Linked DNA regions of Struthio camelus. Each later gene encodes a partner of the first gene's protein in a complex. Links are inferred from orthologs where the notes say so. Each region holds a gene or a part of one and is shown in the gene's direction. Other genes may lie near its edges. The genes, in order: POLR2E, GTF2H4, UXT and PFDN2.

The links.
Region 2: POLR2E (region 1) and GTF2H4 share a complex: the UniProt entries of both Homo sapiens proteins name them as parts of the TBP-based Pol II pre-initiation complex. The link is inferred for Struthio camelus from reciprocal best matches to the Homo sapiens genes POLR2E and GTF2H4.
Region 3: POLR2E (region 1) and UXT share a complex: the UniProt entries of both Homo sapiens proteins name them as parts of the PAQosome complex. The link is inferred for Struthio camelus from reciprocal best matches to the Homo sapiens genes POLR2E and UXT.
Region 4: POLR2E (region 1) and PFDN2 share a complex: the UniProt entries of both Homo sapiens proteins name them as parts of the PAQosome complex. The link is inferred for Struthio camelus from reciprocal best matches to the Homo sapiens genes POLR2E and PFDN2.

The regions. Positions count from the first base shown.
Region 1 is NC_090967.1:7,260,364-7,267,960, forward strand, and holds the start of POLR2E (DNA-directed RNA polymerases I, II, and III subunit RPABC1), read left to right. Parts: upstream 1-4,595; 5' UTR 4,596-4,747; coding exon 4,748-4,804; intron 4,805-5,238; coding exon 5,239-5,413; intron 5,414-5,971; coding exon 5,972-6,087; intron 6,088-6,553; coding exon 6,554-6,634; intron 6,635-6,859; coding exon 6,860-6,918; intron 6,919-7,106; coding exon 7,107-7,185; intron 7,186-7,597. UniProt on the Homo sapiens protein: DNA-dependent RNA polymerase catalyzes the transcription of DNA into RNA using the four ribonucleoside triphosphates as substrates.
Region 2 is NC_090977.1:635,852-643,776, reverse strand, and holds the start of GTF2H4 (general transcription factor IIH subunit 4), read left to right. Parts: upstream 1-4,922; 5' UTR 4,923-4,936; intron 4,937-5,861; 5' UTR 5,862-5,933; coding exon 5,934-6,064; intron 6,065-7,350; coding exon 7,351-7,455; intron 7,456-7,925. Other genes in the region: VARS2 (valine--tRNA ligase, mitochondrial), read right to left, coding at 93-190, 719-785, 1,643-1,755, 2,396-2,496, 3,147-3,375, 3,611-3,820. UniProt on the Homo sapiens protein: Component of the general transcription and DNA repair factor IIH (TFIIH) core complex, which is involved in general and transcription-coupled nucleotide excision repair (NER) of damaged DNA and, when complexed to CAK, in RNA transcription by RNA polymerase II.
Region 3 is NW_027182705.1:18,385-25,718, reverse strand, and holds the start of UXT (protein UXT), read left to right. Parts: upstream 1-4,330; 5' UTR 4,331-4,459; coding exon 4,460-4,527; intron 4,528-6,742; coding exon 6,743-6,824; intron 6,825-7,334. UniProt on the Homo sapiens protein: Involved in gene transcription regulation. Acts in concert with the corepressor URI1 to regulate androgen receptor AR-mediated transcription. Together with URI1, associates with chromatin to the NKX3-1 promoter region.
Region 4 is NC_090971.1:436,072-442,673, forward strand, and holds PFDN2 (prefoldin subunit 2), read left to right. Parts: upstream 1-3,900; 5' UTR 3,901-3,954; coding exon 3,955-4,026; intron 4,027-5,160; coding exon 5,161-5,249; intron 5,250-5,324; coding exon 5,325-5,448; intron 5,449-5,788; coding exon 5,789-5,968; 3' UTR 5,969-6,092; downstream 6,093-6,602. Other genes in the region: NIT1 (deaminated glutathione amidase), read right to left, coding at 1,212-1,487, 1,973-2,098, 2,393-2,526, 2,609-2,712, 2,890-3,150, 3,242-3,463, 3,737-3,738. UniProt on the Homo sapiens protein: Binds specifically to cytosolic chaperonin (c-CPN) and transfers target proteins to it. Binds to nascent polypeptide chain and promotes folding in an environment in which there are many competing pathways for nonnative proteins.

The DNA.
Region 1 (7,597 bases):
GAAGTCTCCTCTCAGCCCCATGGGCTGTTCCAGCAGTGCCAGGCAGGTTGGGGGGTTTCTACAACACCCTCTTCCCCACTCACTTGCCCAGGGTGCCTCTTCCCGCAGGCTGCGCCTTCATCCACGTCCAGAGCGGAAGGGCATTCTCCCCATTGACATCGATCTTACTGAACATGTCAAACTTCACTCCGTACTTTTCAGCGAATGCCTTAATCTGAGCATTGTCCCCTGGTTCCTGAGGAAGGCAAAAGACAGGGCACTCTAACATAAGCCTCTTCCCCTTTCAGCACAGAAACTCCATGGCTCTGCTGGCATGCGGATGTTGTATGGGCTCCCTCTCGTGTACTGGGGAGGCAAGCAGACCCCAGCTAGCCAAGCGGATCCTCAAGACCAAGAGCTGCCCTTGTGTACGGCTCCAGGGCAGCCTTCCTGCTGCTCCCACATACCTGTTTTCCAAACTGGTTGCAGGGAAAGGCCAGGATGCGTAAACCTCTCTCAGCGTATCTGGCGTACAAGTCAACGAACTGAGTGTAGTTTACATCCGTTTTGCCTCATTTTGAAGCAACATTGGTGATGATGCAGACAAAGCCCCTGGAAAGAAAAAGAATCAGAAGGAATTCCCGTAACAGGGCTAGGCAAGCCCCTCACGTATGCTCTCTGTGAAGGGTGCAGCAAGAAGGGAAGGCAGCACAAAAAACAAGCTGCTTTCTCTGTAGCCTTTCTCATGTTATGCAAGCTCCCTTTGTGGCTTAGTCACTGCTGCCTGGTGCAGCTACTAAGGACCTTTGAACAGCACTCCCCCTCGAGGGCTCAAGGGCACCACCTCCCCCCTCCCATGCTTGTGTACTGCGTTATTAAGGACAAGCCGATTCCAGGCCGTTCACTCCTACCTGTATTTCTCCAGAGAGACAGTGTTGCCGTCTATGTCTTGGGCATGGAAGTCATAGATTGATTTGGCAGTGCGCCAGTCATCTACTTGGGCACACTGCAAGAGAGCCGAGAGCTGCTGTCAGCTTCCCTCCCCAGCAATCCCAGCAGCACGTCCTCTCCAGCTTTAGGTGAGCTCAGCTCCAACAGGAGACCAGCAGTGAGCCATGTCACAGCAATAGGTTGTGCCTGTGCCCCCATGCTGATGGCTCGCTGTCTCTGTCCCTCCCATCCATAGCAGCTCCCCTCTCTACTCGTTGCTCATGTCAGGACTCGTGAAGCAGAAGCTGAGCGTACCCAGGAAGGCAAGTGTCACACACTCTGGTGGCTCCCTGCTGTCAGGTGCCCCAAATGAGCCACGTGCTCCATGTCAGCTGGTCCACCCACAGGGTCATGATAATCCAGCTAAGTTACAAGTTTCCCAAACTACAGTTTCTTAGGTCTTCTTTTCTCCTACGCAGCACAATGTAAAACTTGCAGTAAAACTTGCACGTTATTGATGTTGCTCCCTGCTAGGTTTAACAACCCCATGATTCATCCTGGGTGCTTCAACTGCTGGAGGAGCACCCCAGGCAGGGCTTCGGTTTCCAGAGCCTCCCCCCACCACACCTCTCCCAGCATTTCCTCACCCTGTGCAGTGACGGCTGGACAAGCACAAAATTAGAAGCTTAAGCACAGATCCTTGCTGTACGTGCCCCAGGCCCTCATGGAGTCCCAGGCAGGGGCCATCCTGGAGGCCTCCCCCCCGTCGGAGGAGCGGGTCTCCCGCCCGGCCCAGGCAGGCCGCGAGCACCGTCCCCAGTCACCACCAGTTTGTGCCCTGGCCGGACGGGGGGAGCAGGCCAGGCCCTGGCAGCGCCTGAGCACGGCTGGCTTCTGCTCCTCGCTCCCTCCCTGAGGCAAGAGCTGCTCCCCGAGGAGGAGGAGGAGCAGGAGCAGGAGCAGGAGCAGCAGCAGCAGCAGCAGCTCCTGCCGCACAACGGAGCGCTGCAGCCCGGCCCGCGCCGCCGCCCACCCGGCTCCCGGCGGGTTCATCCAGCCGGATTCGGTCCCTTTTTTTTTTTTTTTTTTTGGGGGGGGGGGAGGGGAGCTGAGCTGGCAGCTGCTCCGGGCCCACCTCCGCGCACGGGCAGATCGGGGCGGCCGCCGGGCTGCGCAGCGCTGCCGCCAGGCGCGTGGCCCGCGGCGGCCACCGTCCCGCGCGGGGGTCCGCCAAAGGCGGCCGCCACTCTGCCCTGGGGATAGGCCGTCTCTATGGTCACCTCACTGAAGGGCCGTTACGCGCTTCGCCTCCTCCAGGGGCTGAGGCGGGTGGACACCGACATCGACACCGTGCCCGGCGCCGCACCTCCCCCCCCCCCGCCGGCACCGCCGCGCTCACCATGTTCCCGCTCAGCCGCCGCGCCGCCACCACCCCGCACAGCAGTGCCCGCCGTGACAAGTGACCCAAAACCATCGCGCCGCCACCGCCTCCCGCCCTGAGGCCCGCCCCCTCCGGCGGCTCGGCCAATCAGCGCGCGGGGAGGCGGCACGGCCCAGATGATGGACGGCGCAGCTGGCCAATCGCAGAGCAGGCAGGGGGCTGTTTGGCCGCAGCGGTTGTTTATCGGTTAGGCGGGACGGACCACGAGGCGGGGGGGGGGGGGCAGGGACGGACCACGAGGTGGGGCGGGGGGTCCCCAGTCACGTGGCCGCGCCGGTGCTCGGCGCTGCAGGCGCCGCCGCGGGGCTCCCTTGGGCCTGGGGCGCCAGCGGTGGCCCTCCCGCGGCACATGGCCCGGGGCTGCTTGGGTCTCGGTGCGGGGATGGTGGCGTCCATCACGGTGCAGGGTTGGAGCATTGCTCACAATTCTTGGTTGGAGCATTGCTGACGGTGCAGGGTTGGAGCATTGCTGATGGTGCAGGGTTGGAGCATCGTTGGCGGTGCATGGTTGGAGCATTGCTCGTGGTGCAGGGTTGGAGCATCGTTCACAGTGCAAGGTTGGAGCATCGCTCGTGGTACAGGGTTGGAGCATCGTTCACGGTGCAGGGTTGGAGCATCATTGGCGGTGCATGGTTGGAGCATTGCTCACAGTGCATGGTTTGGAGCGTCACTGGTGGTGCAGGGCGGAGGCTGCCGATCACTGCACCCTTGGGCTGCACTGCCTGGGTGCCTGCAGCCACCTCTTTGCAGCTGGGTGCAGGCTGCTACAGGTGCTGCCTGCTCGCGGGCCAGTGGGTTTGGGGAACGTCCTTGGGAAGCAGTTTCTAGCCCCGTGACTGAGCTGTGGCTGTGGGGCTGCGGTGTGACGGCAGACGGGAACATTTTCCTGTGGCTACTCAATGCCTGGATCCAGGAGGGCACCGGGAGCAGAAGAGGCTGCAGATAAAAGCATCTCCCGCTCGCCACAGTCTTGGCTGCTTTTGGTCTTGGTCTTGGGTTGTGGCTCCCCACGGACAGCCGCTGACGCTGCTGGCTGTCAAGGACAATTAGCTGTAGGCCGTTAACTTTAGACCAGCTCTTAGGAGTTAAAATCCCTCGTCTTGCTGCTGAGTGGAAACTGGAAAACTTGAAAGGTCCTGCCGAAACGAAGGGAGGCACAAAACACGGCTGAGCCCACGCGGCGGGGCTGAGCTCCTGTCCTGCCCATGTTCTTTGAGCCAATTTGTAGGGCAACGCAAGCACTGAAAAACGTGAAAGAAAGGGGGGAAAAAAGGGGCTCTCCAGCTGGGATAATTTGGGAGAACACGAGATTAAAGGAGGCAGATCCCTGACCAATAGTTTGTGTCTTTTTTTAGTGCTTTGTTAGGCAGGATTAATGACGGCTTGTGATTAGAGTTAAAGGCGGCAGGAAAAGAGCCTCAGCAGGCGGATTGTTTGCAGAGGGTTGGATTTCTGTCTCTGCCAGTGAAGCTTGCATCTACGTTGAATAATATCCCCCTTCAAAGGAGTTTTCTACTTGATCTGTGTGCAAAATTGGTAGATACTGCTACTGACAGGTTGTGGTCTTTTGATGTGTCCTGGGCTGAGAAGCTCAGAGCTGTAATTCAAACTGGCAAAAAAATTGTCCCTCCGCCCTGCTGCAAAGAAGAGATGTCCTTTGCTGTGGCAGAGGAGGCCCCCCCACCCCAATCAGGGCCGTCCCCACCGGGGGTGTCACTGTCACGCGTCTGGGCTTGAGACTGCTCCATTGTGTTGCAAGAGGATTTGTTCTGTTTTTCTCTCCCCGATTCGTTCTTGCCACACCGTCCCCAGCTGCAGGGTGGCCGGGAGGGGTCAGGCATGGTGACAAATGGCCGCACAGGCCGCTGGGGGGACTGGGCAGCCCCCGGGCTGGGGCCTGGGCACGCAGAGCTGGTGGTCCCAGGCCCCCTGCCCTGCCCTAGAGCCTCTACTGTGCCAGGCCCAGGTCGCTGACCTGCCCCAGGACCCCCCCGCCCCAGACCCACCCCAGACCTGCCCCAAGACCCCCCTGCCCCAAGACCCCCCTGCACCAGGACCCCCTGCCCCAGACCTGCCCCAAGACCTCCCTGCTCCAAGACCCCCCTGCCCCAGGACCCCCTGCCCCAGACCTGCCCTAGGACCTGCCCCAAGACCCCTTGTTTCAGGGTCCCCTCCCCAGCCCCCCCCGGGGGCCCCCGCCCGCCAGGGGGCAGCAGCGGCGAGGCGAGGCGAGGCGGGGCGAGGCGGGCGGGACTACACCTCCCAGCAGCCCTTGCTCCCGAGGCCCCCGCGGCGGCCCCGGCGGCCGCCTGCAGCGCCGCGCGGCAGGCGCTTAAAGCGGGCGCCCCAGGGCCGGCGGGGGGCTTTCGGCGGCGGCAGCGCGCGTGCGCGAGGGCCATGGACGACGAGGAGGAGACCTACCGGCTGTGGAAGATCCGCAAGACCATCATGCAGGTGCGGGGCCGGGGCCTGGGGGACCGGCGGGCCGAGAGGCCCGGGGCGGGAGCCTGGGGGCGGCCTGGGCCTTGGAGGGAGGCTGGGGCCGAGCCGGGTGGGGGGAGAGGCGAGGCCCGGCCCGGCCCTCTGTTCTGCTCTCCTTGGGGAGCCATCGCGGCGGGGTCCTGGCGTTTGGGACTCTCTCGGGCCCGCCTCGGAGCGCTTGTCCCCCTTCTCCGGGGCGCGGGCAGGATTGCGCTGTGCTAAGAGCTGTACGGAGTTTTCGTGGTGGGGCTTGATGGTTCAGCAGTGCCTGGCGCTCTGGTGCGGGCTCCGGCAGCAGCAGGACTTGTGTTTGGAGCGCGAAGGGTGAAACGCTGCGTGTGGGAAGTGAGCGGAGCTGTGAACACGGGTTACCTGTTGTGTGTCTTAAGTGAGGATGTTCTCTGCAGCTTTGTCATGATCGGGGCTATCTGGTGACTCAGGATGAGTTGGATCAGACCCTGGAGGAGTTCAAGGCCCAGTTTGGGGACAAGCCTAGTGAAGGGAGGCCGAGGCGCACTGACCTGACAGTGCTGGTGGCTCATAATGATGATCCTACTGATCAGATGTTTGTTTTCTTCCCAGGTAAGTGTGACACAGTTACCATATGTGCAGTGAGCTTGGACTTCTCAAAACTGTTAACTCAGGCACCAAGGAATATCTGCTGCTGTTGCGTGTTACCTTTTTGCCTCACACTGATAGAAGCTGTGTGGAAGGGATGGCTTGGCTTTCTGAAAGCCTGATGTGACTGTGCTTCCCCAGCGCTCAAAAACTCACTTCTAATGAAAGCCAGTTCTTCCTGTTCTACTGGCATGAAGCCTTTCAGAAAGCTTATTCTGTCCTGCAAAATAAATATCTTGGTGTGGTAAGCTCCAGCTGGGTTTTCTTTATTTACACAACATGCCTTATTCCACTGGGTTTAACAAGGCAAAACATTCCATAAGTTTTGCTGTGTATGACTGCAGGGGTGACTTCTGCAGCTGGTAGGCTGGATGCAGAATGTTGTGCAAAAAGAAAATACATCACAGAGTAGAATGAATGAATATTTGTGCATAAGTGTATCACTGGCTGCAAAACAAAGGCTATTAGAATGTGGATTACTGAATGCATGTATCGTGATCATGGTACCTCCCTCACTCCTAGAGGAGCCCAAGGTTGGAATAAAGACAATCAAGATGTACTGTCAGAGGATGCAGGAGGAGAACATCACCAGAGCGTTGATTGTGGTACAGCAAGGCATGACTCCCTCAGCAAAGCAGGTACAGAGAACCCTTTTTAAAAAAAAAAAAAAACAACCTGTCTCACGGTCCAGAGGGCAATTGTAGACTATGGATGTTTTGCATGTTTGTTTTGCAGTGCTGCTTTAGATTAATAAGAATGTTGAATTTTATTTCTGAGAAAATGTTTCACTAAAACCTGTTGTCCCTTAACGCAGGGGACATGTCTTGCTTAACATGCAAATGTGTTTAACCAGAACAACTGGCTCTGATTAAAGAGAGCTTTCTAACTCTGGTTAAAGAAGAAGAGAGGGCCTACTGAGGTTTATGAGAGGAGAGGAGATACTTGCCAGCGGTGACAAGGTCCGTTAGCAGTTTGCTGTGTAGCTCTAACTGTGTGAGCACAAATGTAATGATATCCCTTGCAATGTGATGTTTATTGAGCGCAGGTAGGACTGACCTCGAGCAGTGCCCTGTGCTGCAGTCTGACATGCCTTTTCCTTTTCAGTCCCTGGTAGATATGGCTCCCAAATATATCCTGGAGCAGTTTCTGCAGCAAGAGCTCTTGATCAACATCACAGAACATGAGGTAAGTTGTGCTGGCAGTGGAGCAAAGGCGAGGCAACCAGTCTCTCTGCTGAGCTGCAGACCATCACCTAGCTTTTAGCGATCTTCTGTTTGGAAGGTCAGGCTGGGTGACACAGCAGTAGTTGTTCTAGTTTTGCTTACCCACATGTTCCTTGTCCTGCTGCTGTGAGGAGACTTTTGGTTTCTCTGGTTTTCTAATCTTGGAACGTCTCTCCTTTGTTTACAGTTGGTTCCAGAGCACGTGGTCATGACAAAGGAAGAAGTAACTGAGCTACTAGCCCGATAGTATCCTTTGTTTGTTCCTTCCCTCCCTGGGTGTGATTCATACTTGCTTTAAGTTGAAAATGAATACACCTCTGAGTGTGACAATGTACTAGTCGGTTCTAATAACCGTGCCCGTTCTTAAAACAAATGGGTACCTGAGCCAGTTGCTTATGCTGCTGATAGAGCTCTTCCTTGACTGTCCTGTGCAGTAAGCTGAGAGAGAACCAGCTCCCACGCATACAGGCTGGGGATCCAGTGGCCAGGTACTTTGGAATAAAGCGAGGTCAGGTAAGAGTGACACAAGCTGGTGACAGGCAGCAGTTCTCTATAGGCAGAGCTGTGATAGTAGGGGGTATTGATGATATTTCTGAACCCCAAGAGAAGGGAAGGGCCTTTCTTTCCCATGGGAAAGCTGTCGTGGTACAGAGACTTGTGTAAGCTGGGCAGGCTTCCAGCAAGGGGAGACAGCTGTGGCCATTGAATCCTCTGAGGACCAGCAGATGTGACTCCATTCCCAACCTTTGACTGCCCTGCACTTGAAGGTGGCACTTCTATGCTACGTTCCAGCCACAGGCCTGAAGCTTGGTGCCCAGTGTCTCTGTGGCTCCTGAGGGTTGCAGTGTTGCAACTGTTCTGTCTGGGTTTGAGTGTGTATGCGTGTCTGGCAGGGAAGCCCTGCTGGGGAAACTTGCCACCAGCT
Region 2 (7,925 bases), on another chromosome or scaffold:
TCCCGTGTGCTCCGGCGCGCCCCACGCGTGTCGCGTGTGCTCCCGTGTGCTCCGGCGCGCCCCACGCGTGTCGCGTGTGCTCCGGCGCTCACCGCTGCTTCCAGGCCCAGACCTCGGCGAGGAACTCGGAGCGCGTCAGGTCCTGGCGCCGCAGCCCCCGGCGCTGCCACAGCCACCGCTCCACCACCGCCTGCGCCGCGACACGCGGGGACACGGGGGGACACGGGGAGGTGACGCGGGGTGACACGAGGGGAGGTGACGTGGCGGGGGTGACGCAGCGGGGGGTGACACGGCAGGGGGTGACGCGGGGGTGACGCGGCGGGGGGTGACGCGGCGGGGGGGTGACGCGGCGGGGGGTGACGCGGGGGGGGTGACGCGGGGGGGGTGACGCGGGGGGGTGACGCGGGGGGGGTGACGCGGCGGGGGTGACGCGGTGGGGGGGTGACGCGGGGGGGGTGACGCGGCGGGGTGACGCGGGGGGGGTGATGCGGCGGGGGGTGACGCGGCGGGGGGTGACGCGGCGGGAGGTGACGCGGGGGGGTGACACGGGGGGGGTGACGCGGCGGGGGGTGACACAGCGGGGGGTGACACGGCAGGGGGTGACGCGGGGGTGACGCGGCGGGGGGTGACGCGGCGGGGGGGTGACGCGGCGGGGGGTGACGCGGGGGGGTGACGCGGGGGGGTGACGCGGGGGGGGTGACGCGGCGCGCGCCCTCACCTGGGTGGCGATCCCGGCGTGGTCGGTGCCCGGCACCCACAGCACCGTCCAGCCCTGCATGCGCCGCCTGCCACAGCGCCGTGTCCCCGCGTGTCCCCCCCGCGTGTCCCCCCCCCGGCCCCCGGGACCCCCCAGCATCCAGGCGCACCCGGAGACCCCCCCGGGGACCCCCCCAGCACCCTAGGGTGCCCTGACACCCCCCCCGGGACCCCTCCCAGCACCCAGGGCCCCCCACCGGGGGGGCCCTTATAAGGGCAATTATATGACCCCCCACAGCACCCACGGGACCCCCCCTCAGCCCCACGGGACCCCCTGAGCACCTGGGGCACCCCAAGTCCCCCCCCAGCACCCTTGGGACCACCCCCCAACCCCACGGGACCCCTCCCAGCACCCAGAGCCCCCCAAGACCCCCCCAGGGCACTTCCATGACCCCCTCCCTCCACCTTTGGGACCCCCCCCCAGCACCTGCAGGATCCCCCCCCAGCACCCATGGGACCCTCCAGGCACTTCCATGACCCCCCCAGCACCCTTGGGACCCCCCCCAGCACCTACAGGACCCTCCGGCCCCCCCAGCACCCAAGGGCACCCTGGGGACCCCCCCCCAGCACCTACAGGACCCCCCGGCCTCCCCCAGCACCCAAGGGCACCCTAGGGACCCTCCCAGGCACCCATGGGAGCCCTCAGGCACTTCCATGACCCCCCCCAGCACCCTTGGGACCCCCCCCAGCACGTACAGGACCCCCCACCCCCTCCACAGCACCCAAGGGCACCCTGGGGATCCCCCCCAGGCACCCGTGGGAGCCCTCAGGCACTTCCATGACCCCCCCCAGCACCCTTGGGACCCCCCCCAGCACGTACAGGACCCCCCCACCCCCCCCAGCACCCAAGGGCACCCTGGGGACCCCCCCCCGGAGCGGGGCTCACCAGCGGGCCAGGGCGTCCTGCAGGGCGACGGTGAGCGCGTGGCCCAGGTGCAGGGAGCCCGTGACGTTGGGGGGGGGCAGCACCAGGCTCAGGCGCCGCTCGGCCCCCCCGGCCTGCGGGGAGGGGTCGGCGCTGAGACCGGGCGCCGCTCGGCGCAGCGACGGGGGCCGAGACGGGACACGGTGCGGGGAGGGGGTCGGCGCTGAGACCGGGCGCCGCTCGGCGCAGCGACGGGGGCCGAGACAGGACGCTGCGCGAGGTGGGGACGGGGCTGAGGCCCGGGCAGCGTTCGGCGCAGCGATGGGGCCGAGGCTGGAGGCAGCTTGGCGCAGGGACGGGGGCTGAGGCCAGGCAGCACTCGGCGCAGCGATGGGGGCTGAGACTGGGCAGTGCTCGGCGCAGGGATGGGGCTGAGGCCAGGCAGCGCTCGGCGCAGCGATGGGGGCTGAGACTGGGCAGTGCTCGGCGCAGGGACAGGGGCTGAGACCGGGCAGCACTCAGCGCAGGGACAGGGCTGAGGCCGGGCAGCACTCGGTGTAGCGATGGGGGCTGAGGCCGGGTAGCACTCAGCACAGGGACGGGGGCTGAGACCGGGCGCCGCTCGGCGCAGCGATGGGGGCTGAGACCGGGCAGCACTCAGCGCAGGGACAGGGCTGAAACTGGGCAGTGCTCGGCGCAGCGATGGGGGCTGAGGCCGGGTAGCACTCGGCGCAGCGATGGGGGCTGAGGCCGGGCGCTGCTCGGTGCACTCACCGGGGGCCGGGGGGCGAAGAGCCCCCGCCGCTCCCACCAGCTGTACCAGGCCGCCTCCACGTAGCGGGGGCTGTAGGCGGGCGGCAGCGGCTCCTCCACCCCTGCCGCGGCCCAGGGCGTCACCCCGCCGGCCCCCGCGTCACCCGCCCGTCACCCTGCCAGCCCCTGTGTCACCCGCTCGTCACCCTGCGTCACCCCGCCGGCCCCCGCGTCACCCGCCCGTCACCCTGCCAGCCCCTGTGTCACCCGCCCGTCACCCTGCGTCACCCCGCTGGCCCCTGCGTCACCCGCCCGTCACCCTGCCAGCCCCTGTGTCACCCGCCCGTCACCCTGCGTCACCCCGCCGGCCCCCGCGTCACCCGCCCGTCACCCTGCCAGCCTCTGTGTCACCCGCCCGTCACCCTGCGTCACCCCGCCGGCCCCCGCGTCACCCACCCGTCACCCGCCTGTCACCCCGCCAGCCCCTGCGTCACCCGCCCGTCACCCGCCTGTCACCCTGCCAGCCCCCGCGTCACCCGCCCGTCACCCCCGCGTCACCCCACCTGATCCCCGTGTCACCCACCCGGCACCTGCGTCACCCTGCCAGCCCCCGCTGTCACCCGTGTCACCCCGCCGGCCCCCGCATCACCCGCCTGTCACCCCGCCTGACCCCTGTGTCTCCCCACCTGTCACCTGTGTCACCCCGCCGGCCCCCGCGTCACCCTGCCCGTCACCTCACCTGTTGCCCCGTGTCCCCCCCGCCCCCCCGTACCCTTCCGCCCGTCGGGGCCCAGCGACCCGCCGTACTCCAGCTGCGCCTTGGGGGCCCAGGCCTTGGGGGGGGCAGCCGGTGCCTGGGGGCCGCGACACGCTGCGACACGCCGCGACACGCCGTGACACGCCACGACACGCCGCGACACGCCGCGACCCGCCCCGGCCCCTCTCCACCTCTCCCAGTCCCCCCCAGTCCCTCTCCCACCCCCCAGTCGCCCCCCAGTTCCCTTGAGCCCCCCCAGTCCCCCCCAGTCCCTCTCCCACCCCCCAGTCGCCCCCCAGTTCCCTTGAGCCCCCCCAGTCCCCTCCCAGTCCCTCTCCCACCCCCTAGTCGCCCCCCAGTCCCCCCGAGCCCCTCCCAGTCCCTCTCCCAGGCCCCCAGTGGCCTCCAGTTGCCCCCCAACCACCCCAGCTTCATCTCCCAGTGCCCCCCAGTGCCCCCCAGTGGCCCCCCCGGCGCACCTGGGCCCCGGCGCCCCCCAGCTGCGCCCGCTGCTGCCGCCGCCGCTGCCGCCGCTCCTTGTGGGCCCGGGCCTGGAGCTGGGCGCCGGCGGGGGGCCCGGCGGCCCCCCCCCCGCTGCGGCCCCGGCCCCCCCCGGGCCCCCCCCGCGCCCAGGGGCCCGCTCCGCTGCCGGCGCCCCGCAGAGCCCGCGCCAGCGCCGGGGCCGCCATGCTGCCTGGCGGGCGGCGGGGCGCTGAGGGCCCAGGCGCCCGGGTGGGTGCCCCCCTCCCCCCCACCAGCGAGGGGCCCAGGCGTCCGGGCACCTCCCCCCGCCCAGGGACCCCCGGGTGCCCTCCCCCACGAGGGGCCCAGGCATCCAGGTGCCCTCCCCCGGGGGGCCCAGGCGTCCGGGCACCTCTCCCCCCAGGGACCCCCGTGTGCTCCCCCCCGGAGGGCCCAGGCGTCTGGGTGTTGCCCCCCCCCCAGGGACCCCCGTGTGCCCTCCCCCCAAGGGGCCCAGGTGTCCGGGCAGCTCCCCTCCTGGAGACCCCGGTGACCCGCCCCCCACGAGGGGCCCAGGTGTCCGGGTGTCCCCCCCCCCGGGGACCCCCTTGTGCCCTCCCCCCTGGGGGGCCCAGGCGTCCGGGCAGCTCCCCCACCCAAGGGACCCCGGCGTCCCCTCCCCGCCCCAGGGGCCCAGGTGTCCGGCTGTCCACCCCCCCCAGGGGCCCAGGTGTCCGGGTGTCCCCCCGCCAGGGGCCCAGGTGTCCGGCTGTCCACCCCCCCCCCAGGGGCCCAGGTGTCCGGGTGTCCACCCCCCCCCCCAGGGGCCCAGGTGTCCGGGTGTCCACCCCCCCCAGGGGCCCAGGTGTCCGGGTGTCCCCCTCCCCAGGGGCCCAGGTGTCCGGCTGTCCACCCCCCCCCCAGGGGCCCAGGTGTCCGGGTGTCCCCCCCCCCAGGGGCCCAGGTGTCCGGGTGTCCACCCCCCCCCCCAGGGGCCCAGGTGTCCGGGTGTCCCCCCCCCAGGGGCCCAGGTGTCCGGCTGTCCCCCGCCCCCCCCCAGGGGCCCAGGTGTCCGGGTGTCCCCCGCCCCCCCCGGGGGGGCCCAGGTGTCCGGGTGTCCCCCCCCCAGGGGCCCAGGTGTCCGGGTGTCCCCCGCCCCCCCCGGGGGGCCCAGGCGTCCGGCTCGGGCTCTCTCTCACCTTGGCGCGCGCGGCGGTGGCGGCAGTGCCGGCGGGGGCGGGGCCCGGCGAGGAGAAGGGGGCGGGGCCCGGCGCGGCCCCACGTGGTCCCGCGCGGGGCAGGGCGGGAAGGGGGCGGGGCCGAGCCGGGAGCCGGGGCGCGCGGTGAGACGGGGGCGATGGGGGGGGGGCGGCGGGACCCCGGGTGCCACCGTGTCCCCGACCCCGGTCACCCCGTGTCACCCCGTGTCACCCCGTGTCACCCCGTCCCCCCTCCGTCACCCCGTGTCACCCCATCTCCCCCGGATCACCCGGTGTCACCTCGTTCCCCCCCCCCGGGTCACCCAGTGTCACCCCATCTCCCCCTCCCGGTCACCCAGTGTCACCTCGTCTCCCCCCCGGGTCACCCAGTGTCACCCCATCTCCCCCTCCCGGTCACCCAGTGTCACCCCGTCCCCCCCCCGGGTCACCCCGTGTCACCCCATCTGCCCTCGGTCACCCAGTGTCACCCCATCTCTCCCTCCCGGTCACCCAGTGTCACCCTGTTCCTCCCCCCGGATCACCCCATGTCACCCCATCCGCCCTCGGTCACCCAGTGTCACCCCATCTCCCCCTCCCGGTCACCCAGTGTCACCTCATCTCCCCCTCGGTCACCCCGTGTCACCCCATGTCCCCCTCCCGGTCACCCAGTGTCACCTCGTCTCCCCCCGGGTCACCCCGGGTCACCTCATGTCCTCCTTGGGTCTCCCCCCCCCAGTTCACCTGGTGCCACCCCATCTCCCCCTCCCGGTCACCCAGTGTCACCCCGTCCCCCCCAGGTCACCTGATGCCACCCCCCTACGTCACCCAGTGTCACCCTGTGCTCCCATCACCCAGCGCCGGTCACCCTGGTCATCCGGTGTCACCTTATCTCCTCCTTGGGTTTGCCCTCCGGCTCACCTGATGTCACCCTCCCCGGTCACCCAGTGTCACCCCATCCCCCCTCCCCGTCACCCGGTGTCACCCCGTCCCCCCTCCCCGGTCACCCGGTGTCACCCCCCCATCTCCCGCCGGGACTCACCGCGCCGCGCTCTTTCTCCCCTCCTGCCAGGTGTCCCCGTCGGCCGTGTCCCCGTCGGCGGTGGCGGGGTGCCCGTCGGCCGTGTCCCCGCCGCCCCCCGCCATGGAGGGGCCCCCCCGGGTGCCGCGGGGGCAGCTGCAGTGCAAGAACCTGCCCGAGTTCCTGCAGGGGCTCAGCCCGGCCCTGCTCGACCGCCTCTACGGCCACCCGGCCACCTGCCTGGCCGTCTTCCGGTGAGACCCCCCCCGGGCACCCCCCCCGGGCACCCCGACCCCCCCCCCGGGCACCCTGACCCCCCCCAGAGCACCCCCACCCCGTCCCGGGGCACCCCGACCCCGGCCCGGCCCTGCTCGACCGCCTCTACGGCCACCCGGCCACCTGCCTGGCCGTCTTCCGGTGAGACCCCCCCCCGGGCACCCCCCGGGGCACCCCGACCCCCCCCCCGGGCACCCCGACCCCCCCCCCCGGGCACCCCGACCCCCCCCAGAGCACCCCCACCCCGTCCCGGGGCACCCCGACCCCGGCCCGGCCCTGCTCGACCGCCTCTACGGCCACCCGGCCACCTGCCTGGCCGTCTTCCGGTGAGACCCCCCCCCGGGCACCCCCCGGGGCACCCCGACCCCCCCTCGGGGCACCCTGACCCCCCCCCGGGCACCCTGACCCCCCCCAGAGCACCCCGACCCTCCCCGAAGCACCCCAACCTCCTCCAGGAACACCCTGACCCCCTCCCAAGCCCATCCCAGACCCCTTGACCCCCCCCCCAAGGCCCTCCGATCCCCTCGGAGCCCCCTGACCCCCCCCAGGAGCCCCCTGAGCCCCCCATAGGCCCCCCCACTCCCCCTCAGGCACCCCGACCTCCCCCCAGGAGCACCCTGACACCCCCTCGGGTGCTCCCCCCCACCCCCCTCGGGCACCCCTGACACCCCCTGGAGCACCCCAACCCCCCCCGCCCGGCCCCCCACTCCCCCCCAGGCACCCTGACACCCCCAGCAGCACCCTGACCCCCCCCAGAGTCCCTTGAGCCCCCTGACTCCCCCCCAGGAGCACCCCGACCCCCCCCCTCGGAGTCCCCAGAGCCCCCTCAGCCCCCCAGGAGCACCCTGACTGCTCCCCTGGAGCCCCCCGACACCCTTAGGGGCCCCCTGACCCCCCCAGCCCCCCAACTCCCCCCCAGGAGCATCCTGACACCCCGCAGGAGCACCCTGAGCACCCCATGGGCACCCTGACCCCCCCAGGAGCACCCTGAGCCCCCCATAGGCCCCCCCCACCCCCGCAGGCACCTCGACCTCCCCCTTAGGGGCCCCCTGACCCCCCCCCAGGAGCACCCTGACCCCCCCCAGCCCCCCAACTCCCCCCCCAGGAGCATCCTGACACCCCGCAGGAGCACTCTGAGCACCCCATGGGCCCCCCCCAGGCGCTCTGACCTCCCCCTTAGGGGTCCCCTGACCCCCCCCCGGGCGCCCCCGACCCCCCCGGGCGCCCCCGACACCCACCCACGCCCCCCCCCCCCGCGGCGCAGGGAGCTGCCGGGGCTGGCGCAGGCCGGGGTGCTGCGCATGCTCTTCGTGGAGCAGCCCCTGCCCCAGGCCGCCGTGGGTCTCTGGGTCAAGAAGGAGCACAGCAGGTGGGGCGGGGGCTCCCGCGGGGGCCGGGGGGCTCCCGGCGGGGTCCCGGCGGCGGGCTGGGGGTCCCGGGGGGCTCCCGCGGGGGCCGGGGGGCTCCCGGCGGGGTCCCAGTGGCGGGCTGGGGGTCCCAAGGGCACCCATGGGTGAGCTGGGGGTCCTGGGGAGTACCTGAAAGATGGGCTGGGGGGGGTCCCAGGGGCACCCATGGGTGGGCTGGGGGTCCTGGGGGTGCTCATGAGTGAGCTGGGGGGGTCCCAGGAGGCACCCATGGGTGGGGTGGGGGTCCTGGGGCTGCCCGTGGGTGCTAGACCATGTCTGAGGGTGGGCTGGGGGTCCTGGGGGAAACCCGTGGGTTCCAGGGGACATCTGAGGGTGGGCTGGGAGGTCCCGGGGGCACCCGAGGGGGGGTGGCGGGTGGCAGGGGACTCTTGTGGGTCCCAGGGGGCACCTGGGGGTGGACTGGGGGTGC
Region 3 (7,334 bases), on another chromosome or scaffold:
GTCCGGGAAAGGGGCACAGGCGTCCAGAGAAGGGCCGAGGCCTCCGGGGAAGAACCCAGGCATCCGGGGAAGGGGCCCAGGCGTCCGGGAAAGGATCTAAGCATCCAGGGAAGGGGCCCAGGTGTCCGCGGAAGGGGCCCAGGTGTCCGGGGAAGGGTCCAGGCTTCCGGGAAAAGGGCCCAGGCGTCCGGGGAAATGATCTAAGCATCCAGGGAAGGGGCCCAGGCATCCGGGGAAGGGGCCCAGGTGTCCGGGAAAGGGGCCCAGGTGTCCAAGAAGGGGCCCAGGCATCCAGGGAAATGATTTAAGCATTTGAAGAAGGGGCCCAGGCGTCCAGGGAAAGGGGCCCAGGCGTCCAGGAAAATGATCTAAGCATCCAGGGAAGGGGCCCAGGTGTCCGGGAAAGGGACCCAGGCGTCCAGGGAAATGATCTAAGCATGTGAAGAAGGGGCCCAGGCATCCAGGGAAGGGGCCCAGGTGTCTGGGAAAGGGACCCAGGCATCCGGGAAAGGGGCTCAGGCATCCAGGGAAGGGGCCCAGGTGTCCGGGAAAGGGACCCAGGCATCCGGGAAAGGGGCTCAGGCATCCGGGGAAGGGGTCCAGGTGTCCGGGAAAGGGGCCCAGGTGTCTGGAGAAGGGGCCCAGGCATCCGGGAAAGGGACCTAAACATCCAGGGAAAGGGGCCCAGGCATCCAGAAAGGTGCGCAGGCGCCCAGGAAGGGGGCCCAGGTGTCCGGGACAGGGGCTCAGGCATCCGGGGAAGTGGCCCAGGAGTCCGGGAAAGGGGCCCAGGCACCCAGGGAAGGGACCTAAGCAACCGGGGAAGGGGCCCAGGCATCCGGGAAAAAGGGCCCCGGCATCCAAGAAAGGGGCCCAGGCATCCGGGGAAATGATCTAAGCATGTGAAGAAGGGGCCCAGGCATCCGGGGAAGGGGCCCAGGCGTCCGGGAAAGGGACCTAAGCATCCAGGGAAAGGGCCCAGGCATCCAGGAAAAGGGCCCAGGCATCCGGGGAAGGGGCACAGGCGTCCAGGAAAGGGGCCCAGGTGTCCAGGCAAAGGGCCCAGGCATCCGGGGAAGGGGCCCAGGCGTACGGGGAAATGGGCCCAGGCGTCCGGAGAAGGGCCGAGGCCTCCGGGGAAGAACCCAGGCATCCGGGGAATGGGCCCAGGCATCCGGGGAAGGGGCCCAGGCATCCGGGAAAGGATCTAAGCATCCAGGGAAAGGGCCCAGGCATCCGGGAAAAGGGCCCAGGTGTCCAGGGAAGAGGCCCAGGCATCTGGGGAAATGATTTAAGCATCCGGGGAACGGTCCAGGCCTCCGGGAAAGGGACCTAAGTGTCCGGGGAAGGGGCCCAGGCGTCCAGGAAAAGGGCCCAGGTGTCTGGGGAAGGGGCCCCGGTGTCCGGGAAAGGGACCTAAGCATCCAGGGAAAGGGCTCAGGCATCCAGGAAAGGGGCCCTGGCATCTGGGAAAGGGCCCAGGCATCCGGCATAAGGGGCCCAGGCGTCTGGGGTAAGGGGCACAGGCGTCCGGGGAAATGATTTAAGCATCCGTGCAAGGGGCCCAGGCCTCCAGGGAAGGGGCCCAGGTGTCCGGGAAAAGGGGCCCAGGCGTCCGGGGAAATGATCTAAGCATCCGGGGTAAGGGGCCCAGGCATCCGGGCAAGGGGCCCAGGCGTCCGGGAATGGGCCCAGGCGTCCAAGAAAAGGGCCCAGGCATCTGGGAAAGGTCCCAGGCATCCGGTAAAAGGGCCCAGGTGTCCGGGGAAGGGCCCAGGCATCCGGGAAAGGATCTAAGCATCCAGGGAAAGGGCCCAGGTGTCCGGGAAAAGGGCCCAGGCGTCCGGGGTAAGGGGCACAGGTGTCCCGGAAAGGGGCCCAGGCATCCGGGTAAGGGGCCCAGGCATACGGGGAAGGGGCCCAGGCGTCCGGGAAAAGGGCCCAGGCATCCGGGCAAGGGGCCCAGGCATCCGGGGAAATGATCTAAGCATCCAGGGAAGGGGCCCAGGCGTCCGGGAAAGGGACCTAAGCATCCAGGGAAAGGGCCCAGGCATCCAGGGAAGGGGCCCAGGTATCCAGGAAAAGGGGCCCAGGCATCCAGGGAAGGGGCCCAGGCGTCCGGGAAAGGATCTAAGCATCCAAGAAAGGGGCCCAGGTGTCCGGGGAAATGATCTAAGCATCCAGGGAAGGGGCCCAGGTGTCCGGGAAAGGGACCCAGGCGTCCGGGAAAGGGGCTCAGGCATCCGGGGAAGGGGCCCAGGTGTCCGGGCAAGGGGCCCAGGTGTCTGGAGAAGGGGCCCAGGCGTCCGGGAAAGGGACCTAAACATCCAGGGAAAGGGGCCCAGGCATCCAGAAAGGTGCGCAGGCGCCCAGGAAGGGGGCCCAGGTGTCCGGGACAGGGGCTCAGGCATCCGGGGAAAGGGCCCAGGCATCCGGGGTAAGGGGCCCAGGCGTACGGGGAAATGGGCCCAGGCGTCCGGAGAAGGGCCGAGGCCTCCGGGGAAGAACCCAGGCATCCGGGGAATGGGCCCAGGCATCCGGGGAAGGATCTAAGCATCCAGGGAAGAGGCCCAGGCATCTGGAGAAATGATTTAAGCATCCGGGGAAGGGGCCCAGGCGTCCGGGAAAGGGACCTAAGCATCCAGGGAAAGCGCCCAGGCATCCGGGGAAGGGGCCCAGGTGTCCGGGAAAGGATCTAAGCATCCAAGAAAGGGGCCCAGGTGTCCGGGGAAATGATCTAAGCATCCAGGGAAGGGGCCCAGGTGTCCGGGAAAGGGACCCAGGCGTCCGGGAAAGGGGCTCAGGCATCCGGGGAAGGGACCTAAACATCCAGGGAAAGGGGCCCAGGCATCCAGAAAGGTGCGCAGGCGCCCAGGAAGGGGGCCCAGGTGTCCGGGACAGGGGCTCAGGCATCCGGGGAAAGGGCCCAGGCATCCGGGGTAAGGGGCCCAGGCGTACGGGGAAATGGGCCCAGGCGTCCGGGGAAGGATCTAAGCATCCAGGGAAGAGGCCCAGGCGTCCGGGGAAATGATCTAAGCATCCAGGGAAGGGGCCCAGGTGTCCGGGAAAAGGGCCCAGGCACCCAGGGAAGGCACCTAAGCAACTGGGGAAGGGGCCCAGGCATCCGGGAAAAAGGGCCCAGGCGTCCAGAGAAAGGGGCACCGGTGTCCGGAAAAGGGCCCAGGCATCCAGGGAAATGATCTAAGCATGTGAAGAAGGGGCCCCGGCATCCTGGGAAGGGGTCCAGGCATCCGGGAAAGGGCCCAGGCGTCCGGCATAAGGGGCCCAGGCGTCCGGGAAAGGGGCCCAGGTGTCCGGGGTAAGGGGCACAGGCGTCCGGGGAAGGGCCCAGGCGTCCGGGGAAATGATTTAAGCATCCAGGGAAGGGGCCCAGGCCTCCAGGGAAGGGCCCAGGTGTCCGGGGAAAGGGGCCCAGGCGTCCAGGGAAATGATCTGAGCATGTGAAGAAGGGGCCCAGGCATCCGGGAAAGGGGCCCAGGCGTCCGGGAATGGGCCCAGGCGTCCAAGAAAAGGGCCCAGGCATCTGGGAAAGGTCCCAGGCATCCCGTAAAAGGGCCCAGGCGTCCGGGGAAGGGCCCAGGCGTCCGGGGCAAGGGGCACAGGTGTCCAGGAAAGGGGCCCAGGCATCCGGGTAAGGGGCCCAGGCATACGGGGAAGGGGTCCTGGTGTCCGGGAAAAGGGCCCAGGCATCCGGGCAAGGGGCCCAGGTGTCCGGGAAGGGGCCGAGGTGTCCGGGCAAGGGGCCCAGGTGTCTGGAGAAGGGGCCCAGGCGTCCGGGAAAGGGACCTAAACATCCAGGGAAAGGGGCCCAGGCATCCAGAAAGGTGTGCAGGCGCCCAGGAAGGGGGCCCAGGTGTCCGGGACAGGGGCTCAGGCATCCGGGGAAAGGGCCCAGGCGTCCAGGGAAGGGGCCCAGGTGTCCGAGGAAGGGGCCCAGGTGTCCGGGAGAGACCCAGGCATCCGGGGAAACGGGCCCAGGTGTCCGGGACACGGGCCCAGGTGTCCAGGAAGGGGCCCAGGCGTCCGGGGAAGGGCCCAGGCGTCCGGGAAGGGGCCCAGGTGTCCGGGGAAGGGGCCCAGGCGTCCGGGAAGGGGCCCAGGCGTCCGGGGAAGGGGCCCAGGCGTCCGGGGAAGGGCCCAGGTGTCCCGCCGCCCCCCCATCCCCCGTTAAGCCGAAACAACGTCGCGTTTCTCCCCGATTCCCCCCCAAAACCCACCGCCCCCCCCCCGGGCTCCCGCCGCCGGCGGCGGCCGAACCGCGGCGCGCCGCGATGACGTCACCGCGGGGGCGCCGGCCCGGCCAGGCGGCGCAGCCGAGCGCCGAGCGCGCCGACCGGCCACAGGCGCGCCCAGCCGCGCGCCGATAGGCTGTGGCGGGCGCGGCGCGCTGACGTCACGGCGCGCTGACGCGGCGGCGCGCTGACGTCACGGCGCGGCCATGGCGGCCGCCGGCAAGGTGCGGCGCTACGAGGCCTTCGTCAGCGACGTGCTGCAGCGCGACCTGCAGTGCGTGAGCCCCGCCCCCTCCCCCCTCGGCCCCGCCCCCTCCCCCCTCGGCCCCGCCCCCTCCCCTCGGCCCCGCCCCCGCACTCCCCCCGCCCCACCCCTTCTCTCCCCCTCCCCCTCGTGGGCCGCCGCGCCGCCCCCTCCCTCCTCACGGCGGATCGGCCACGCCCCCCCGCCCCCCTGGCCACGCCCCCCCGCCCCCTCCCCGGCCACGCCCCCTGCCCCCCCGCGCCGCTGCCCGCCCCCCCCCACCCCGCACAGCCAGCCCCTCCCCGCCCACGCGCTCTGGCCCCGCCCACGCGCTCTGGCCCCGCCCACGCGTTCTCTCCCCCCGCGCTCTGGCCCCGCCCACGCGCTCTGGCCCCGCCCACGCGTTCTCTCCCCCCGCGCTCCGGCCCCGCCCACGCGCTCTGGCCCCGCCCACGCGTTCTCTCCCCCCGCGCTCTGGCCCCGCCCACGCGTTCTCTCCCCCCGCGCTCTGGCCCCGCCCACACGTTCTCTCCCCCGCGCTCTGGCCCCGCCCACGCGTTCTCTCCCCCCGCGCTCTGGCCCCGCCCACACGTTCTCTCCCCCCGCGCTCTGGCCCCGCCCACGCGCTCTGGCCCCGCCCACGCGTTCTCTCCCCCCGCGCTCTGGCCCCGCCCACGCGCTCTGGCCCCGCCCACGCGTTCTCTCCCCCCGCGCTCTGGCCCCGCCCACGCGCTCTGGCCCCGCCCACGCGTTCTCTCCCCCCGCGCTCTGGCCCCGCCCACGCGCTCCGGCCCCGCCCACGCGTTCTCTCCCCCCGCGCTCTGGCCCCGCCCACGCGCTCCGGCCCCGCCCACGCGTTCTCTCCCCCCGCGCTCTGGCCCCGCCCACGCGTTCTCTCCCCCCGCGCTCTGGCCCCGCCCACGCGTTCTCTCCCCCCGCGCTGCGGCCCCGCCCACGCGCTCCGGCCCCGCCCACGCGTTCTCTCCCCCCGCGCTCTGGCCCCGCCCACGCGTTCTCTCCCCCCGCGCTGCGGCCCCGCCCACGCGCTCCGGCCCCGCCCACGCGTTCTCTCCCCCCGCGCTCTGGCCCCGCCCACGCGCTCCGGCCCCGCCCACGCGTTCTCTCCCCCCGCGCTCTGGCCCCGCCCACGCGCTCCGGCCCCGCCCACGCGTTCTCTCCCCCCGCGCTCCGGCCCCGCCCACGCGTTCTCTCCCCCCGCGCTCCGGCCCCGCCCACGCGTTCTCTCCCCCCGCGCTGCGGCCCCGCCCACGCGTTCTCTCCCCCCCGCGCTCTGGCCCCGCCCACGCGTTCTCTCCCCCCGCGCTCTGGCCCCGCCCACGCGTTCTCTCCCCCCGCGCTCCGGCCCCGCCCACGCGCTCCGGCCCCGCCCACGCGCTCCGGCCCCGCCCACGCGTTCTCTCCCCCCGCGCTCCGGCCCCGCCCACGCGTTCTCTCCCCCCGCGCTCCGGCCCCGCCCACGCGCTCCGGCCCCGCCCACGCGTTCTCTCCCCCCGCGCTCTGGCCCCGCCCACGCGCTCCGGCCCCGCCCACGCGTTCTCTCCCCCCGCGCTCTGGCCCCGCCCACGCGCTCCGGCCCCGCCCACGCGTTCTCTCCCCCCGCGCTCTGGCCCCGCCCACGCGTTCTCTCCCCCCGCGCTGCGGCCCCGCCCACGCGCTCCGGCCCCGCCCACGCGTTCTCTCCCCCCGCGCTCTGGCCCCGCCCACGCGCTCCGGCCCCGCCCACGCGTTCTCTCCCCCCGCGCTCTGGCCCCGCCCACGCGCTCCGGCCCCGCCCACGCGTTCTCTCCCCCCGCGCTCCGGCCCCGCCCACGCGCTCCGGCCCCGCCCACGCGTTCTCTCCCCCCGCGCTCCGGCCCCGCCCACGCGTTCTCTCCCCCCGCGCTGCGGCCCCGCCCACGCGTTCTCTCCCCCCCGCGCTCTGGCCCCGCCCACGCGTTCTCTCCCCCCGCGCTCTGGCCCCGCCCCCGCGCTCTGGCCCCGCCCACACGTTCTCTCCCCCCGCGCTCCGGCCCCGCCCACACGTTCTCTCCCCCCGCGCTCTGGCCCCGCCCACACGTTCTCTCCCCCCGCGCTCTGGCCCCGCCCACGCGTTCTCTCCCCCCGCGCTCTGGCCCCGCCCACGCGCTCCGGCCCCGCCCCCCGCCCCCCCATCCACATCCCACCTCCCGGCCCCGCCCCCGGCCGAGGCCCCGCCCCCGCTGAGGCCCCGCCCCCCCCCCCGCAGGCGGGTGCTGGCGCAGCGGGAGGCGGTGTGCGAGCAGCTGGCCCAGGTGCTGCAGCTGCGCGCCGCCCTGGAGCGCCTCCAGGTGGGCGGGGCCTCGGCCGAGGGGGCGGGGCCTCGGCCGGGAGGGGGCGGGGCCTCGGCCGGGTGGGGGGCGGGGTCAGCCCGGCTGCGCTGCCGGGGGCAGGGGGGGGTGCTGCTGCTATGGGGGGGGGCTGGGGGCGGGGCCACGATGGGGGCGGGGCCACGATGGGGGCGGGGCCACGGGGGGCGGGGGGTGTGGGGGGAATTGGGGGGGATTGGGGTCTTGGGGGGGATTTTTGGGGGGGGAATTGGGGGAGTTTGGGGGTCCGGAGGGTGATTTTGGAGGAATTTGGGGGTCTGGGGGGCGATTTTGGGGGGAGCTGGGGGGATTTGGGGGTCCGGAGGGCGATTTTGGGGGGAGTTGGGGAGATTTGGGGGAGAATTTGGGGGATTTGGGGGTCTGGGGCAGATTTGGGAGTCTGGGGGGGATTTTGGGGGAATTTGGGGGTCTGGGAGGCGATTTTGGGGGGAATTGGGGGGATTTGGGAGTCTGGGGGGATTTGGGGGGGAA
Region 4 (6,602 bases), on another chromosome or scaffold:
CCCTCCCCTCCCCTCCGCTCTGCTGCTGCCTGGCTCTGTTTCCTCGCAGCCCTGGCTCCTGCTGGCAAACTGGGTCGAAGCGAGGTGGTGCTGGGGAAGGCCTGGCTGGCCCCTTGCTGGTGCAGTCAGCCGAGCCTCTGCCTCGCTAATGGGGGCTGCACGTTTTGGGGGGCGGCAGCACATGCTGCTCCTTGGTCCACAGCCACCTGGCTCCTCCCAGGTCTCCAGAGGACTGTCACCTCAGGCCACTGAAATGGCTGCAATGGGCCCTGTCCTATTGCTCCCTGGCTGCTTGTGGTGGGTTCCTAGGGTGGTTTTTTTTTCCAACTTAGCTGGTTTTTGTGTTTCTTTTTTCCCCTGTTGCTGCTTGGCTGCAGGCTCTTTCCTCCTGCTCCTGCTCCAGTGTGTGCGTTGAGGGGTGAAGCAGGGGCATGTGAGGGCTTGTGCTTTGGGATGGGAGGACCACCATGGGGCAGCCCCCCCAGGACTGCTGTGGTGTGCATGTGGTTCCCCCTTCCTCCCCTGTGCGCACACACACCCCTCTGGTTACAGACAATTCTGGCACAACTTGGTGTAATTTCTGTGACTTCTGTATTTTTTAAAAAGTCAATATAACAGTCATATTCCCTGTGTAGCTTCCAGTTTTCTTGAAATAAACATCTACTGCAGTGCATGGCTCCTTCCTTGCGCGGGTGGCTGCCCTGTCAGGCTGGGTGCCCTGCTCCTCACCAGCCCCTGCAGGCACCTCTGAGGCAGGCAAGGGAGACAGGTGCTGGGAGCACCCCACATCTGGGGTGCTGCTTTGGGGGCTGCAGCTTGTAAGTGGCAGTGTGGAGGCTGCCTTCCCCCCCCCGCCCCCAGACTGAAAGGGGGGGGAAACATCCCCCGGCTCTGTTCCCTGTTCCCAGGGTACCCTGTAGCAGCCTGTGGAGAAACCAGGGCACCAGCACGTTCCTGCCTCTCCATGTTTCAGAGGCTCTCAAACAGAGCAGCTGCAGCCCTGCTCCACCTTCAGGTCAGGGGAAAATGGACGTGCGAGGCAGGCACCATTAGATTTATTGGGTGACAGGGTGGGGGGGGGCGGGTGCCCCAGCTCGCCTGACACTGGCCTTCTCATGCAGGAGAGCCCTGCTGCCAGCCCAGGGCCCCGGAGGTGAGTGGAGATCAGCCAAAATCACCGTGCTGAGAGGGTGCACAGGACAGGCAGCGCCTCAGGGTGCTGGCCCTGTGCCTACTGCCACAGTGCCGTAGAGGTCGGGCCGGCGGTGGCTGTGCACCGGGATCTCCCGGCGGACGCGGTGCAGGTAATCCAGATCGATCTCAGCATAGCACAACCCTGGGCCCTCCTGGCACTGGGCCACCACAGTGCCCCAGGGATCCACCACCAACGAGTGGCCGTAGGACGTCCGGCGCTCATGGTTCTTGCCTGTCTGGGCAGCTGCCACCACGTAGCACTGGCTCTCGATAGCCCGGGCCCGCAGCAGCACCTGCGATGGGGGGACAGGCCTTCCCAGTGGCACCAGCCCAGAGCTGAGTGCCCCACTGGGGACACGGCACAGCCCTGTGGGTGCATCCCTGAGAGGGGCCTCATGGCAGGAAGGGACTAAGCTCAGATAGGCGGTGCCCCCTGGCCCTGGGCTTTAAATAACAAAAAGATGAGGCTTTTTATCTTAAATTTGCCTCCCTTTGGCCCCCTCAGCTGCACCCAGGATGCTTGGTCATGGCTGAGTTTCCTCCCTGCTTGCCTGCTCAGGCTGTTGGAGATGAGCAGGGTGAGGGCTCAGTCCTGCTGCAACAGCCAACAGGGCTGGGGTGTCCCCAGACCCACAGGGGGACAAGGAGGGGCTGTGCCAGGCAAAAGCCACCTGGATCAGGGCAGGGATGGAACTGAGGCCGAGAGGCGTGTTGGAGCGCAGCTCCCTGGCTAGGAAAGCCAGGGGGAGGATTGGGGGCAGCAATGGGGCATGCTCACCTCCCAGTGTGCGGAGCCTGTGGTGACGGTGAAGGCCGAGGGGTAGGTGAGGATCTCGGCCCCAGCCTGCCGCAGCGCCAGCGAGATCTCGGGGAAACGCAGGTCGTAGCAGATGGAGAGGCCGAGCTGGCGGGGACAGAGGAGAGGACGTGAGCGAGGACACGGCGCCTGGGGACAGGCACCCAGTCCTGTTAGGGGCTCTGGGCAGGGGAATGGGGTAGGTGGGACCAGGACAACATGGAGGAGATGCAGATGAGGGACAGCGTCAGCTGCAGATGGGATGCAGCGTTTGAGCTGGGACTTCTGCTAGGGCAGAAGAGAGGGCAGGAAGGGGAACCCCTCTCCCTGCAGGGACAGGGCGCCGTACAGCCTTGCGGCATCTGAAGATGGCCGTGCCCACCTTCCCAGCTGCCCCCATACCTTCCCTGCCGGCGTGCTGACCGGGGGCACGATCTCGGGGCCGGGGTTGGTGAAGCTGCTCTCCTTCATGGACACGCGTCCCTCCAGCTCCACATCACACAAGTGGGTCTTCCTATATGCAGCCACACGGCAGCCTGGGGACAAGAGGGAGCAAGGTCGGGAGGTCTGCAAGGGCTGAGGGACCCCCGGGCAGCGGGCAGGGCCAGGGGCTCTCACCTGCAGGGTCCAACAGCACGTGGCAGTTGTAAATGCGCTGCGTGGTCGGCCAGTCCCGGCCTCGCTCGTGGAACCCGCCCAGGGACAGCCACACGCCGCAGTCCCTGCACAGCAGGGACATGGGGGTCACCTGGTGCAGGGCCAGGCCCCCCCCCAGTCCCCTGGCCCTGGCTCTGCCTCCCACTCGCGCTTGGAAAGGGGAACCTGGAACCATTCTGCAGGATGGGATCAGCCACACTGGGACTGGCCCCGGCAGGAACGGGGTCTCCCTGCAGAAGTACCTGGCCAGCCCAGCGTAGCGCCCCAGGAGATCGCCATCCAGGCTCTCAGCGAGGCTGAGGGTCTCCGCGGTGTTGGAGCCGATGTAGTCAAAGCCCTCGGGGAGGAAGACGAGGCAGGCGCCGCGCTGCGCCGCCTCCCTCACCAGCCCCGCACAGGCGGTGAAGTTCAGCTCCTTGTCAGGCGTGGACGTGACCTGGCACACAGCGATGAGCGGCTTGAGCCTGGGTGAGCCCGCCATGGCTCCGGGCAGGCACAGGGAGCTGTGGCAGAGCATGGCTGTCAGCCGTGGGGCCGGTGATAGCCCCCCAGGGCTGGCACGAGTAGCCCCACACGCATGGTCCCGCTTGGCACCTGTTTGTGGCAGGGTGAAGGCTGGAGCTGGGCAGCTGCCTCTGGGCGCCCAGGAGGTCTTGGCACAGGAAGCGCAGCAGGATGCGGGGTGCCGTGCTCAGCCTGGGGGCAGGAGGGAGCTGAGACCCTCCAAGTGAAGGTGGTCCCGCACCCGTCCCCGGGGCACAGCGAGGGAGGTGGCTTCTTCCCCCACTGCCTGGGGACATGGCTGCCATCTCGCTCCTGTGCAAGGGGGACGCGGCCCCGAGGGGATGGCGCCAGGCCCCAATCACGGGCCTGCAGGCAGCTGGCCCCGGCCCCCCACGGCACCCCAAACTGTCGAATCCTCTCCAGCCCCCCCAGCTCCTCAGCACCCCAAACGGCCCCCAGGCCCCACCAACACCCCCAAACGGCCCCCAGCTCCTCAGCACCCCAAACGGCCCCCAGGCCCCACCAACACCCCCCCAAGGGCCCCCGCCCGGCCCTCCCAGCCCTCCAGGTGCCCCCAGTCCCTACATGCCCTGTCCGCGGCTCCAGCCCCGCGACGCCGCCGGGGCCGGGCAAAGTCCCCCCCGTCGGGGTTGCCCGCAGCAAAGATGGCGCCAACACCACCCCCGCCTCAGCGGCCAACGCCGCTGCCCTCTGTCAAGATGGCGCCATGCCTCGCCCCGCCCCTTCCGGCCGGCCCCGGAAGGGGCGTGGCCCGCAGCGCGTGCGCAGCGCGGCGAGGGAAGATGGCGGACAGTGCGAAGGGGCGGCCCGGGGCGGCGGCGCCGCCCGGTGGCAAAGCGCTGACGGCGGAGCAGGTACCGGGCGGGGGGGGTGTCCGGCAGCCCGGGCGGGACCGCGGCGCGGGGGGGCAGGGCAGAACCATTGTGCTGGTGGGGGGGTCCTGGCAGGGCTATGGCTAGGGAGGGGGCTGGGCATGACCATTGCGTGGGGTCTGGGCGGCACCATGGCACAGGCCGGGGGGGGGTCTGGGCGGCACCATGGCACAGGCCGGGGGGGGTCTGGGCGGCACCATGGCACAGGCCGGGGGGGGGTCTGGGCGGCACCATGGCACAGGCCGGGGGGGGTCTGGGTGGCACCATGGCACAGGCCGGGGGGGAGCTGGGCGGCACCATGGCACAGGCCGGGGGGGAGCTGGGCGGCACCATGGCACAGGCCGGGGGGGGTCTGGGTGGCACCATGGCACAGGACGGGGGGGAGCTGGGCGGCACCATGGCACAGGACGGGGAGGAGCTGGGCGGCACCATGGCACAGGCCGGGGGGGGGTCTGGGTGGCACCATGGCACAGGACGGGGGGGTCTGGGTGGCACCATGGCACAGGCCGGGGGGGGTCTGGGTGGCACCATGGCACAGGACGGGGGGTTGCTGGGCGGCACCATGGCACAGGATGGGGAGGAGCTGGGCGGCACCATGGCACAGGCCGGGGGGGGTCTGGGTGGCACCATGGCACAGGCCGGGGGGGGGTCTGGGCGGCACCATGGCACAGGCCGGGGGGGGGGTCTGGGTGGCACCATGGCACAGGCCGGGGGGGGTCTAGGCGGCACCATGGCACAGGCCGGGGGGGGGGTCTGGACAGCACCATGGCACAGGATGGGGGGGTCTGGGTGGCACTATGGCACAGGCCGGGGGGGGTCTGGGTGGCACCATGGCACAGGATGGGGGGTCTGGGTGGCACCATGGCACAGGCCGGGGGGGGGGTCTGGGTGGCACCATGGCACAGGCCGGGGGGGGTCTGGGCGGACGGGCGGGTCTGGGTGGCACCATGGCACAGGACAGGGGGGGGGCTGGGCGGCACCATGGGGCTGGAGGGGACTGGGCAGCACTATTGCACAGGGCGGCGGGGGCTGGTAGGGGCTGGGCAGGGCCAAGGCATTGGCAGGGAAAGGGACGTTACCAGCCCCGGCACTGTGTCCCCATCGCTGTCCTCACAGGTGGTGGCCAGGTTCAACCGCCTGCGGCAGGAGCAGCGGGGCCTGGCCTCGAAGGCGGCCGAGCTGGAGCTGGAGCTGAACGAGCACAGGTGGGAAAACGAGGCCTGGGGTGGGGGGGCCGCGGTCGCAGGGGCTTCACCGCCTCACTCTCCTCTTCCTCCCAGCCTGGTGATCGAGACGCTGCGGGAGGTGGACCCCACCCGGAAGTGCTACCGCATGGTGGGCGGCATCTTGGTGGAACGAACCGTCAAGGAGGTGCTTCCGGCTCTGGAGAGCAACAAGGAGCAGGTGACCGGGCTGGCCTTCCTTTCGCCTTGGTGCCCTCGTGGCAGGGTCCCAGGCTGGTCACGGCCTGCAGAGCCTCCCCCAGGGCTTGCAGGGCCCAGCTCTCTCCTCCAGGCAGGAAGTTGCTGCCCACAGGGATGCACAGGACAGATCATGGCCAGGGCAATTCGCCATGGGGTGATTCGGGAGACACTGGGTTGTCCCGCTCACTGCGAGGCCCTGAGTGCGAGCCCTCATCTGCGAAGCTCTAGCCCCCGTCTTTGTCTCGCTTCAGAGACCTGGGAGCGAGGACTGAGCCAGTCTCCCTGCTGCTTTGCCCTGACTCATCTTTACCCCTTTCCAGATCAGCAAAATCATTGAAACGCTGAACCAGCAGCTGCAGACAAAGGGCCGGGAGCTGAACGACTTCCGGGAGAAGCACAACATCCGCCTCATGGGTGAGGACGACCAGAAACAGCCCCCCAAGGAGAATACCGAGGGGGCTGGAGCCAAGACCAGCTCGGCCGGGGTCCTGGTCTCATAGGAGCTCATTCGCACTGTCCCTAAGGACTTTCCTCCTGTCTTAGCCTCCCTTCCCCTCTCTGTTATTATTTAGTGTTGTTCATGTCATATTTTTGTTAAATACATGTGAGATTTTTTGGTCACGAGATGAGTGTTAGCACGGATGGTGGCATGTTCCAGGGGCCTTGGGGTGAGTGTCTTCTGCCCTATGGGCGGATCCGCCCTGGACATGGAGAAAGGAAAAGAGGAGAGCAAGCCCAAGCAGGGGAGGCAGCTGGGGTGTCCGTTTGTGCTGGGACCCTGGGATGGGGATGGCCAGGTCTGGCCAAACTTTCCCACGGCGAGGCTGGTGGTGGGGCTGTCTAGGGCCACCGTCCCCTCCCGCGCCAGGGGAAGTGGCGCTTCGGGGACCCTTCTTGGTATGTTTGCGGCCTGCTGCCATCTCCCGATGGCCTGTGAGCACCCGCCGAGGAACGCGGTGCCGTGAGTCCTCCTTCCTGGCAGGCCTCTCTCTGCGTGACTGCAGCCAGCCGTTGTTTTCTTGCCGTTGTTGCCAACGAGCGCTCCGTGGCGCTTCCCCGGGGGCCGTTCCCAGCCCGCGCCGCTTTCCGCAGTGAGTGAGCGCATTCCTCCCCAGGCAGCGCGCGGCAGCTGCG